3 linked regions of the Schizosaccharomyces pombe genome follow. The protein of the gene in region 2 purifies or fractionates together with the protein of the main gene of each other region. This does not show direct contact. Each region holds a gene or a part of one and is shown on either strand. Other genes may lie near its edges. The genes, in order: ubr11, pfh1 and rpc25.

Evidence for each region.
Region 1: the proteins of pfh1 (region 2) and ubr11 purify together in Schizosaccharomyces pombe (affinity purification with mass spectrometry, with the first as the bait; one study listed by BioGRID). This does not show direct contact.
Region 3: the proteins of pfh1 (region 2) and rpc25 purify together in Schizosaccharomyces pombe (affinity purification with mass spectrometry, with the first as the bait; one study listed by BioGRID). This does not show direct contact.

Annotation. Positions count from the first base shown.
Region 1 is NC_003424.3:3,700,816-3,704,572, reverse strand, and holds the start of ubr11 (ubiquitin-protein ligase E3 Ubr11), read right to left. Parts: upstream 2,082-3,757; 5' UTR 1,779-2,081; coding exon 1-1,778.
Region 2 is NC_003423.3:3,568,813-3,572,569, forward strand, and holds the start of pfh1 (DNA repair and recombination protein), read right to left. Parts: upstream 1,665-3,757; 5' UTR 1,377-1,664; coding exon 122-1,376; exon of another isoform or gene 81-121; coding exon 1-80. Other genes in the region: sphingosine hydroxylase/sphingolipid delta-4 desaturase Sur2, read right to left, coding at 2,568-3,449.
Region 3 is NC_003423.3:2,591,174-2,594,930, forward strand, and holds the start of rpc25 (DNA-directed RNA polymerase III complex subunit Rpc25), read right to left. Parts: upstream 2,213-3,757; 5' UTR 1,998-2,212; coding exon 1,790-1,997; intron 1,750-1,789; exon of another isoform or gene 1,674-1,749; coding exon 1,587-1,673; exon of another isoform or gene 1,536-1,586; coding exon 1,267-1,535; intron 1,133-1,266; coding exon 1,085-1,132; 3' UTR 450-1,084; exon of another isoform or gene 404-449; 3' UTR 1-403. Other genes in the region: hbs1 (translation release factor complex GTPase subunit), read left to right, coding at 3,291-3,330, 3,385-3,438, 3,482-3,757.

The sequences.
Region 1 (3,757 bases), on a different chromosome or scaffold from region 2:
AGAATGGAAGATGGAGATTCAACGAAGCTATATGACGAAGGAGGAATTGGATGAGGACTTTTCCAATAATCCTCACGAAGAGATACTTGACAAACCGCAGCAGGGCGGGGTCTACGACGAGCGTTTATGATTTGTCGAAGGTTATTAAGGAGTTGAGAGTTAAACTCCGGGCGAATAGTAACGACATCCTGAGTTGCAGTAGTGGGAATAGGTACAGGAGTATGCGTCTGAGGATTATAATCTACATTTTCAGTGTTTTGTGATTCATCAGTTTCGTTTTGACTTTCGGTTTCCATTGAAATATCTTGAACATCGTCTTGACGAGTGTTTCGGTTTACACCAGGATAATCAGCCTCAGCAGCTTCATTTTCTTCTGTCTCCATAACTTCATCAGTTAAATCATCAATATCCTCTCGTTCTGTTTCAAAATCCAGAAGGTCATTTACGTCGTTATCATCATCAAGTGGATGATCAAATCCTGCAATAGTAGGATCGGTCATATCCGCTTCAAAATCTTCATCACCACCCAAATTAGCAATTCTAGTTACACCTGTTTCATCTTGAAGGTTTGCGATAACATCGAGAAGTTCTTCTGCGGCATAAATATCATCCTCGCTATCATCGTCATTAACAATCTCCAGAGGAAGGTTATTAAAATTCACCTCAGGCTTAGCAGGTTTTTCAAGGCCAGGAGACCAGTTCTTCAAAATTTCATCGCAAACGATAATTTGTAAATAATCAGCAAAATAGCAAACATGTGATTCTAGAAGATCATCGAACCATTCTAATAGAATACCACAAATATCTTCGCGAAAAAAATCGCGGGCAGTACGAACATTAACAGCTAAGTTTTCTTTTGAAATAGCGTTCGCGATTCTTATTGCTTCGTGAACTGAAGCCGATGTAGCAACAGCAAAGCGGCCAATAGAATCAACACGTTGAGCGACTTCAAGTCCAAAAGCCGTATTTGACGAATCTAACGCCTCAAGCACACTACCTACAACAGCGTCAAAGGTATGCACTTCGTCGTTCCAAAGCATTACACGGAAAACGTTGCAAGGCCTATCAGCTACACCATACTTTGCGCTGCTAAGACGAGAGGCCTCCTCATCTGCTAAGATGCTACCGACAGTAGATTGAGCTTTAAGATTCACGGGGGAACAAGAAAAGACATCGAGAATGAAGTCAAGAAGAATATGAATAGTTGTACGGATAGAGTGTTGAAGTTCTAGTGGGATCACTTCTTCTGGCTTTTTCTGCTCCTCGTCATCGGGGACATTATGTATCTTGCAGTTAAGGTCGACATTCCATGCCTCAGGATCGCCACAGTCGCAGATTCCACTATAAGAGGTTGAAATAGATACATGAGTCTCGTGACCCTCGTGGTTTGTGGCATGAAAGCAAGGAGCACAAAGAACACATGTGTTATCTAGCCCACAGTTCTTGCAACGATATATCACCTCGCCGGCACGAAATACGTGGCCACAAACCTTGGACCCAGAACGTTTATCTTGTAATTCTTGGGCGCATTCGGGTTCAGAGTGCTGAAGCCTCGAGAGACGAAAGTCAGAAGTAATGGCACCTGGCTTTTCTTTGAGAAAATATTTCCAATTGTCTTCGTTGTAATTCAGCAACGACAGGAAAACCTCTTGCAGCAAGTGCGTTTTTGATTCTTCATTTGAATCGTATGCATGCTTTTCCGCGCTTTCTAGAAGGTATTTTTGTAACCTAGAAGCCGATGGTTGCGAAAGAGGAGCCGGCGGGTCGTGCAATTGCATGAAATTATAGGAAAGGTTCTGTGAAGTAGATCTTGGGCCGCAAAGTTTTCTTCAATAATTAAATTGGTTTAAAAAAGCTATTTAATAAACAACAGGCACGCTAAAGCCACGGAATATACAAATTTTCATCAACAGAAAATTGGGGAAGTAATTGAAACAGCATTCAGTTGAATAAAGCAAACTCCAATCCTCCTTTACCTTCTTTAAACTTTTCTGTTGAAACAAATTTCTCTAAAAATATTTTTGGCAGCTATAAACCGTTCCTTCTTAATATTTCTGATTTGTATACCTAAATGGCGAGTTACTTCTTGCCATTGCCAAAAATCCATTTATACTACTTTCAGGTAACATCGTCACCTTTCTTGTATCAGTAGCCAATTGAAGATACCAAAAAATGACACCAGCTTGATAAATTCATCAGCTGTAGTCAACTCTTTAAAGCCATTTACTTTCAATTCAATTTCCTATTTCCTTCTTCTTAATATGTGTTAATATGTGTTGATTGCTTTTTTTCGTTTCGATCTAGTGGGCTTGATTTCATCCTTTGCCAGATAGGAATCACCATCATATGAGTTGGAAAGTAAGAGATATGCACCCTAGAGTAATCCAGCTCGAGATTCTTAAACTATTTATCCTTTTTAATCTAATTAAAATTTTTTCCTTTGGGTGATAATTTTCCATCGAGTTTGAATTACCCAAACTTCTCAATTATCTAACACCCCAAGATTTCAAAGTAAATATTGTTATCGCAGTGCATAGTAGATTTTAATGAGCGCTTGAATACTTCGGGCCCATGGAAATCATATCAAGGTTAAACAGTAGCATGCGCACACTATATTTTACTATACTATACTATAATACTTTAAGTAGGGCCAAAAGTTGATGGCTTGAAAAATGGGTTAAATGTTGAAAAAGGCTTTAAAATAATAGATAACCTTAAAGAAATAAATATTACTTCATGGGAATAGTTTATTTAAATTTCATTAGTTTTCCAGCAGTATTGTTAGCAAATAAAAGCAATTGCTCTTACATTGTTGCCGAGCACGGAGGCTAAATTCGACTCTTTCCAACTAATTAAGTTGGCACATGACGGGAATAGTTAGTGTGTTTAAAATAAATTTAGCAACAATTATTGCTGATCTTTCTTTAGGGAAAAAGGAAAAAAGTGTCACAAACCGGGATCGAACCGATGACCAACAGATCTTCAGTCTGTCATGCTCCCAACTACACCATTGCGACTGTTGTCGGCTTTCTTGAATTAGTAATATGTAATATGTTGTTTAGAAAGTGGTAAGTTAGTGTGCTTTTCTTATATTTACAATGTCAAGTGTTTCTTAAGCACATAAGTAGTATAATATTGAAACATAAAATAGCAAGTATAATACAGTTACTTTATTTTCTCTGGAACAAAGATGGCGATCGGGTAGTGAGATTTACAGAATAAGACAACATTATACCAGATACAAGCTGGAAAGAAATCACTTAATAAATTGTAAAGGCAAGACCAATATTGAAAGTATGATGAATGCCAGAAAATGAATGTCGTTCATATTAGCTTGACTGAATCATAGCAAAAATGGAATAGGTATTAATATCCGAGTTCTCCTCATTTTCTGCTTCCAATACCTAGTTTCTCATACAAAGTGGTTCAGGGTATTGACCACTATATGACTACGCTTTATAGTGCAACAATCAAAGCTTTTTTAATTGAATAGGTGCAGCTATCGCTTACTTTTATCTTGCTACACTTTGTCCAACTTTGAATATCTCTGCTAAACGTTTGTCATTAAGGTTAATCAAACGACTTTTATCATTCGAGTATGTTGTTACACTACCCTAGTTTCTTCTGCTAATAAATTATCAATCGTACGTTAGATGTAGCCAAGCGAGAAATCGCTACTTAGTGTTGCAAGCAAAGATGCATACAATGCAAATGCGCAAAGCCGCATCAGTAGTATAAATTGAATAAATAACAAACA
Region 2 (3,757 bases):
ACCAAATGGCTTACTATCTTTGCGAATAACACGCGCAACCTCTTCTAACTTGTCCATTAATTCAGCATCGACCATAGAAACTATAGTTATTAGTAAATATAAACTCACTTAAATTGTTTACCTTCATCAATGATCAAAACTCTGGTGCGCAACCAACGATTAACACACTTCTTATTTTTCTTTATTTTAGATACCAGGAGGTCGACAGATTCACGAGCAAGGCCTACCCCAGCAAAGGAGTGAAGTGTTACACCGCCGATATTACAGGCTGCCAAGCCTGTAGAAGCGGTAACAGCAACTCTGTCAGATTGCTTTCTATATTTAGATTTTAGGACTTCAATTATTTTTCGGAGGAGAACAGATTTACCTGTTCCAGCAGAGCCCGTAAAAAATATACTGTGTTGTTGCTCAACAACCATGTCTAAAATTCTTTTTTGCTCATCGGAAAGGAATATGCTAGGGACAGATTTTTTACGAGAATCACTTGTCTTAAACAAAGAAGATCCTATTGGCGATTTGGAAGCAGAGTTTAAAGGAACAGAAAATTTTTTAGATATCTGTGGGGTAGACTTAGATTTACTCATGCGTTTTTTAGCCAGACTATCCAAAGAACTGCTTCGTCCATTGCTAAGCTTATTTGAAGAATCATTAGATACAGTGTGTTGACTGATATCAGCTGAAGTGCTGGTTCTTTTAGGATCAGGATCTCCATATCTGTAAGGATCCACTGCCCAAGGAAGGGTTCGTGAGCGTTTTATTCCCTGCCTCGTAATATTACTAGATATTACGCTACTTGCGCCTTTTTCAGAAGTATGGTCTTCGTAAATTTTTGAGAGATGATTTTTTGACCGCTTTTCGCTCGAGAGCATTGATTTAGTTAACTTAGTATGCTCGATAGGGGATGAAGACCAAGGAATTGGTTTTTGGTCAATATCGTTTTCTAAAAGTAGATCATCATCAAAGTCATTTTCATCAATATAGACGCCATTCGCTATTTCAGTGGAGTATTTACTACCCAAGCCAGAATTTTCAAAAACGGGCAGTGAGGGTTTCGAAACATCGAATCCCACGGTGTTATCAAGTTGTTTTAAGCTAGCAGCAGAACGACCTCTTTTGGCTGGTAGGGTTATTGGAGATGACGGAAGGTTATCAGACTGGCTAGAAAATGTTTGCTGATCATCATTAGTAGAGGAGCGAGAGGAATTGAAGTTTAAAGAAGCGGACGAAAAACCGCCCAATTTGTTCAAGGAGGGTTGATGCGATGACTCGTTTTGTGTATGAAGCAAGCTGCTTTTCTGCTGAGCTCTTTGAAACATGACGGGGATACGTTTCCTAAAAGAGTGACTAAATTTATAAAGAGATTGGCACGAAAACATTCATCGAATTACTTCAAGAAACTGGAAGGCGATCTGTACGCAGGTTGTCTAAAAAAAGAAACCGTAAACGAAATAGATCACCCAAAATTGTTTGATCGAAGAAAAGCAACAAGAAAACAATTTCAGTTTGAATTTAAACAACAATCTGCTACTGACTTATGCGACCTCGACCTAACACCTATGATAAGCGGTCCAAGCACATAAGAGTTGGAAGTATCCCTTTGTTGATTGTATTAATTGGGATACCGGTTGAAGAAATTTGTCAATGTCGAGGAAACGGCTGTTGACAAGGAGGTACAGAAATGAAAGCGCTATACTAATAAAAATCAAATTTACGGTGGTAGTGGACGAGACAAATGAAAGCGCGTATGTCAAGACGCGTCACGTCTGTCACCACCAGGCACGTGTTTTTTACTTCACAACTTTTGCACAAATTTTTTATCATTCAATACTGTAATTATCATAAAGTCCTTTTTACATTAGTCGTTCCTTAAGTATAACTTGCATAATTTGCTTTCGGGGCCTATGCAATGCAATGCAAATAAATTGACTTTTGTTATAATATGTTACAATCGAAGCAAATATTAACCCGTGTTTACAGTAAGTTATTAATTTTATAATATTTGATAAAACGCGTCTACGATACCATATCCTCGGAAGTCTGTAAATAATAAATGCTATCAATTAATAAATTATATACTGTATGTAGACTAAAACAATCAATACTAAGTCGAAAATTCAATAATGAGCGACAAACGATTTAAATTCGTTGACCAACCAACTTTGGTAAAGATACACAAAAACATGCATCTTTAGGTAAGTATCGTGTTCTTCAGCAGTCCGTGTCAAACATCCCGTTTTAAAGAGACTTTAGAAGTGGAAAATAACATAAAAATACAAGGTTACGGTTATCACAAATACCTAGAGTCATAGGAGGGATAACTTCAACAGTAAGGATTGCCAATCGATTTGTACTACCGACAAATTTAAAAGGAAGAACAATTAGATTAATAAAATTTCAAAAAAAATGAAAATAGCAAACAAAGAAACTAGAAAGAATGAGAAAAAATTAATAGTAAACATTTATAACTCAATATAAAAAAAACAGTATATTGGATTCAGCAGAAGTACTAAGGATAAGAAAGATTCAAAAAATGCAAATATCACAGAGCACATGTACTTTTGTAATTTCTAGTTAACCTTCTTTGCATTCTTAGCCTTTTGCTTTTTCTCGTAAGGAGTTTCAGACTTGGGAGGCATGTAAGTTCCCAAAACGTGGTCCCAGAAGGTAAAGAAGGGCTGGCTAAAGTTCTTTTGGAAACCGTAAGGTTGGTGATGAAGGTCATGGTAACGAGCATTATTGGCAAAGAACATTTGAAGAGGGTCATAAGGGAATACGTATCCACAGTGATCATCAACAGTCTTCAAGGTAGAAAGGGTGAAGAAAATAACAGCTTGTTGAGGAGAAAGACCGGCGGCGAGATAAGCAACACCAGCGCCAAAAGTGTCCAAAATCAAACCTTCAAAGGGATGGTTGTAAAGGGCACCCATAGCATAGGGAACTTGGAGACGATGGTGATGGGCATGAATCATGTTGTAGAGCTTCTTGTTGTAGTGGAGGTAACGGTGCCAGAAGTATTGCCAGCTGTCAATGATGAAGAAAGCAAAGAAGTATTGGAATGCGGGAACAATAAAGTTATAAGCCAATTTAGGGGCAAAGGGAGCAACTTGTAACAAAGCAGGCAAATTCTTGCTGAAGAAAGCCTCGTAGCGTAACATTTGCTTAGCCTCGTCAATGGGTTCAGGATAGCCCTCGAACATGGCCAATGCGATTCCAACGACGACTTCGCAAAGTTGTTGGAAAAGCACGGCTTTAACAACAGCCATCTGAGGAACACGGTTGCGTCTGGCTATCTCCTCCGGAGGATGAATGCGATACTTCTCAAAGACAGGTAATTCAATGTAATGCAAAAATCCGAAGAAAGCAGAAGCAACCCAGTAAATGATGACAGGAGAAACCAAGGAAACGGTCACTGGGTTCCAGGTAGTTAACATTTCAACGGTGGTAACCATAGTGGCAAGAAAAATTCAAATTCGAAAATATAGCAAAAAGTTAAGTGAAAGTGTAAGAAAAGAGAGAAGCTGATTAGTTATATATATGCGAATATATATCTATGTGTCTAGACTGAAGAAAGAAAACAGTTGGTACAATATATACAAATCACAAACGGCAAGAAATGTGATTTATACAAACAATTGAAAAACGATGAAACCAATAAGGAACCTTTTAAAACAACAAGTAATAAAAAGGATATTTAAACGAAACAAACCTCTTTATTTGTTCGATTTTCAATAATTTGTCTTTGGGAAAAACAAACTAT
Region 3 (3,757 bases), 980 kb from region 2:
CGTAAATTAATAATAGTACTAGAAGTAAGAAAGTGAATGATTTTGTGGGTATGTGTATTTTTAATTTTGCAAAAATATTCGTTTATCCCTAAAGTAGTACAGTAGCCGAAAGAATCCTTTATAACGTCCATGCATTTGTGCACAAATACAACAAAATTAGAAGTTTGTCAAATTGCTGTTGGTCATTTTCAAATAGCAAATAGCAAGGCGCTGAAATGTTAAGGTTGCTATTTTCTGACATATAACGAAAATCGGCTGTACTAAAGAGTAACGTGGGTTGGCGATGGACATTCTTTGCTGAAGAAGCAAACATTGTTCATAAAAAGTAGACTGATATTCTATTATGCTATAAAATGAATCGGCTCTTTTGTGTAATTAATTAAATTTTCCATATTCGGTAATACTACTAAACATTAGTATACACAATACCAAAATCAATCAAATCATACATAGCATGGATCGTTTGTTTAACATTGAAAAATTCCTTTACGCAGTGCGGAATCTTCAGTTGTTAGATTGAATATAAAGTTTTAGAACATATGACTCTTTTAACCAGATTAAATTTAAGCTTGACATGAAAGTACCTTTATTAAAGTAGCCCCCTGTTAGCAAATACCATGATCATCCAAGAAGGTAAATTTTGAAGAACGCCGTTTTCATAACCATTATGTGTTGCTGTGCAAAGATGTAAACAAACTGATTTTTCGATACAATAATATACCTTTAAATAGAGAAAAGCTAAAAAAAAAAAAAAAAAAAGAAGTAGTTGATTTATAAATAACCCTTTTTCACTAAAAGCAACCTTTAAGTAGGACATGTCTAAAAACAACACAGGTATCTCCAACGAAATAATAAAACCCCAAAAGGTTTGTGCAAAAACCTTCGGCAATGAAATTTATAAGACGGGATGAATGTACAGAATAGAATTGCAACCATTTTCTAGACCACGTGATTTTTGGGAAATTTTGGTGATGCATTAGATGAAGAAAAATAGAACATGAATGAAAGTCTACTTATACAATTTGGAGTAAATGATTAATTGATGCTTTTAAATTTTGTTTGACTTTGATTCGAATCCAATAGCTCATTTCCACCAAGCAGGAATGCCCAGTCCATCACGAGAACAGGAAGCCTAAATATATAGTTAGTAAATTCTATCGATTTGAGAGAAGCAGAAAATATTTTCTTGTATACTAGCAAATAGATGGTGCACCCTTCATAAATAATGACACAAGTTTCGCCCTAAACATAAAAAAAAAAACTTACAATCAATGTATATGGGGATACCGATTCCAATGCTTCTGTGCCTGTAATCGCGGTTGCATTTTTATTCCTCTTAGGTGAAATATCAACAAAGTCCTCAGATTCTATTTGAAAGCGTATTTCTTCATCAATGTCAAAATACAATTCGGTTCCCTCTGAGCCGTCCTCCCCTTCAATTTTCCATACCCAGGCACGCTCATCCGGACGAAAGACACATGGATCGAAAAGCATATCTTTCGGAATGAAAATATCGTCAAAAAAGCTAATAGTTACTGGGAGAAAAACATTAACAACAAGCATTTAAACAAACACATTTAACATACCCCGAATACCTTCTTCACTGCACGATTTTATTTTTCCCAGCATTACTTCACCTCGAAAAGGACGAAAGATTATAAGGCGGAAAACCACTAATCTAATTAGAACCATTTAAGTTTTTCTTTTCCACTGAATCACTATCCTGACAGCCTTTCGTATTGATAATGCGAATTGGCATATGAAATAAAGTGAGCAGACTTATACTTACCATTCATGTATGAAGAGCCATCTCCGTATTTAATTATTCCTTCCCCAATTTTCAAAAAATCATAAACGCAAATAGCCAGTCCAATGTTTTGTATCACTTTGTTAGCATACTTTTTATGGATTTCTTCAGCCAGTGCTTCCTTTGTAGGCTTCCAAAAATTGGATGGATGGATGCTTATAATGTCTGAAAACCGACTCAAGAGAAACATAAATAATAAAACGGCTATTACTCGTAGTTTTTACCACCTTGTAGAAAAAATCTTTAACTTGAATAGAACGATAAATAATTAGAAATACAACAGTGGATCACAATCCAATTTAAAAATATTTCTTAACCTTTTGGTCAACAACTTTGCATAAATCAAAAGGAACCTTTCAAAAAAGTAATTTAACTGCAAGCCCAGCTTTCTTTGCCAGGTCGCGTAAAAATATGAATACGAAGATTATGTTGCATACCAGACCATTCATGGCGAGTTAACGATCTAATGAAAAGCGTGTTAAACGACTTAGCGAGGCCAGTGAAGTTTTAGCGCAGTAGCTTTAAGACAAATCCATGAAATATTGTTTACAATTGAAAAATTATAATGAGTAGAAGTTTCAATCGCTTATTCAAACATACAAATTTATTACAGAATTAATATAAATTTTAAATAGTTAAAAGGATGAATATAACAAGATTGTTGAGTGTTCTGTCGATATACATGCTCATGAGCAGTTAAGAAGTAAAAACAAATAATTAATGAAAGAATTCTTTGAAAATCGAACTACTAAATAATTTTTTAAAATTATTAGCTATTTTAGCTTTTTTTTCTATTTACAAATTCTAGCATATTTGTAAATAAACATTTTTTGTTAATATCTATGAGCAGTATTTAAAGATAAAAAAAAGGAAAATAATTAATTAAATATTGCTGCAAACATATCTAACGAGAGTATGGCATACTAAAATTTCCTGAAAATTTGACGATTCTGTTAACTTTAATATTGGCATAGTTTAGAAAACTTAAGTAAATCATTTTTTAGTCATTAAAAAGTTAAATATTTCATTTTGTTACATGAACGCCAAAATTTTTGAATTTAATGTTTAACAACTTTTGATACTTGACACTACAAACAGACTTATGTTTTCCCTACTCTTACTCATCCGAATTCAATAGTTCATAAAACATTTGAAGACAATGAGAGAAATTTACTATATAATGAATAGAATGGGTCCGGTCCGGCTTAATAAAAGGCATCCACCCTAAAACACTCAGTTGTTACAGTTGAGAATTTTTAACAACTCTTGTTGCAGCACTCAATTCAGTATAGCGACATTGCTAAAATTCGCTAAAGCTGCTGATGATGTATGAATATTTCCAAGAATTTACTCTAGAGCAAAGTGTCAAATGCCAACTTAAATATTATACATATATTTATTATTTATCAATAGAAACCATTTTTTTTAAAACAAGAAGTATTTATTGGTTTCTGACTTTTGGCAAAAATAACAAATTCAAAATATGTCGAGGCATCGTGATGTAAAAAATCTTGATCTTGATGGTTCGTACCATTTGATATTGTAATAGTTTGTATTTTTTTTTAACGTCTTTCTAGATTATGAACTCGACGAGGAGCCAGGAGAGGAAGAATTGACTGAAGAGCAGGAAGGTTAGTAAATGATTTCTTAAAAATATTAACGAACAATATCTAGAGGAATTCAGGTCTGCTGTAGCCACAGTAAGGGAGACATTATTAGGTGTTCCTATTTCAGAAAAAGAAATTGCCGATACAGTTTGGTACTATTACTTTGACGTAGAGAAATCAGTCAACTATCTTTTGCAAAAGGCTAGTTCCAAAGCTGGAGCTAAAGAAAAACAGAATACTGATTCCCAAAAAGAAAAAAAACAGAACAAATCGAAAGAAGCTTTAGCGGATGCCAAAGATCCATTGGATGAATCTTCTAATGGTATTAAAAATTTAAGCCTAA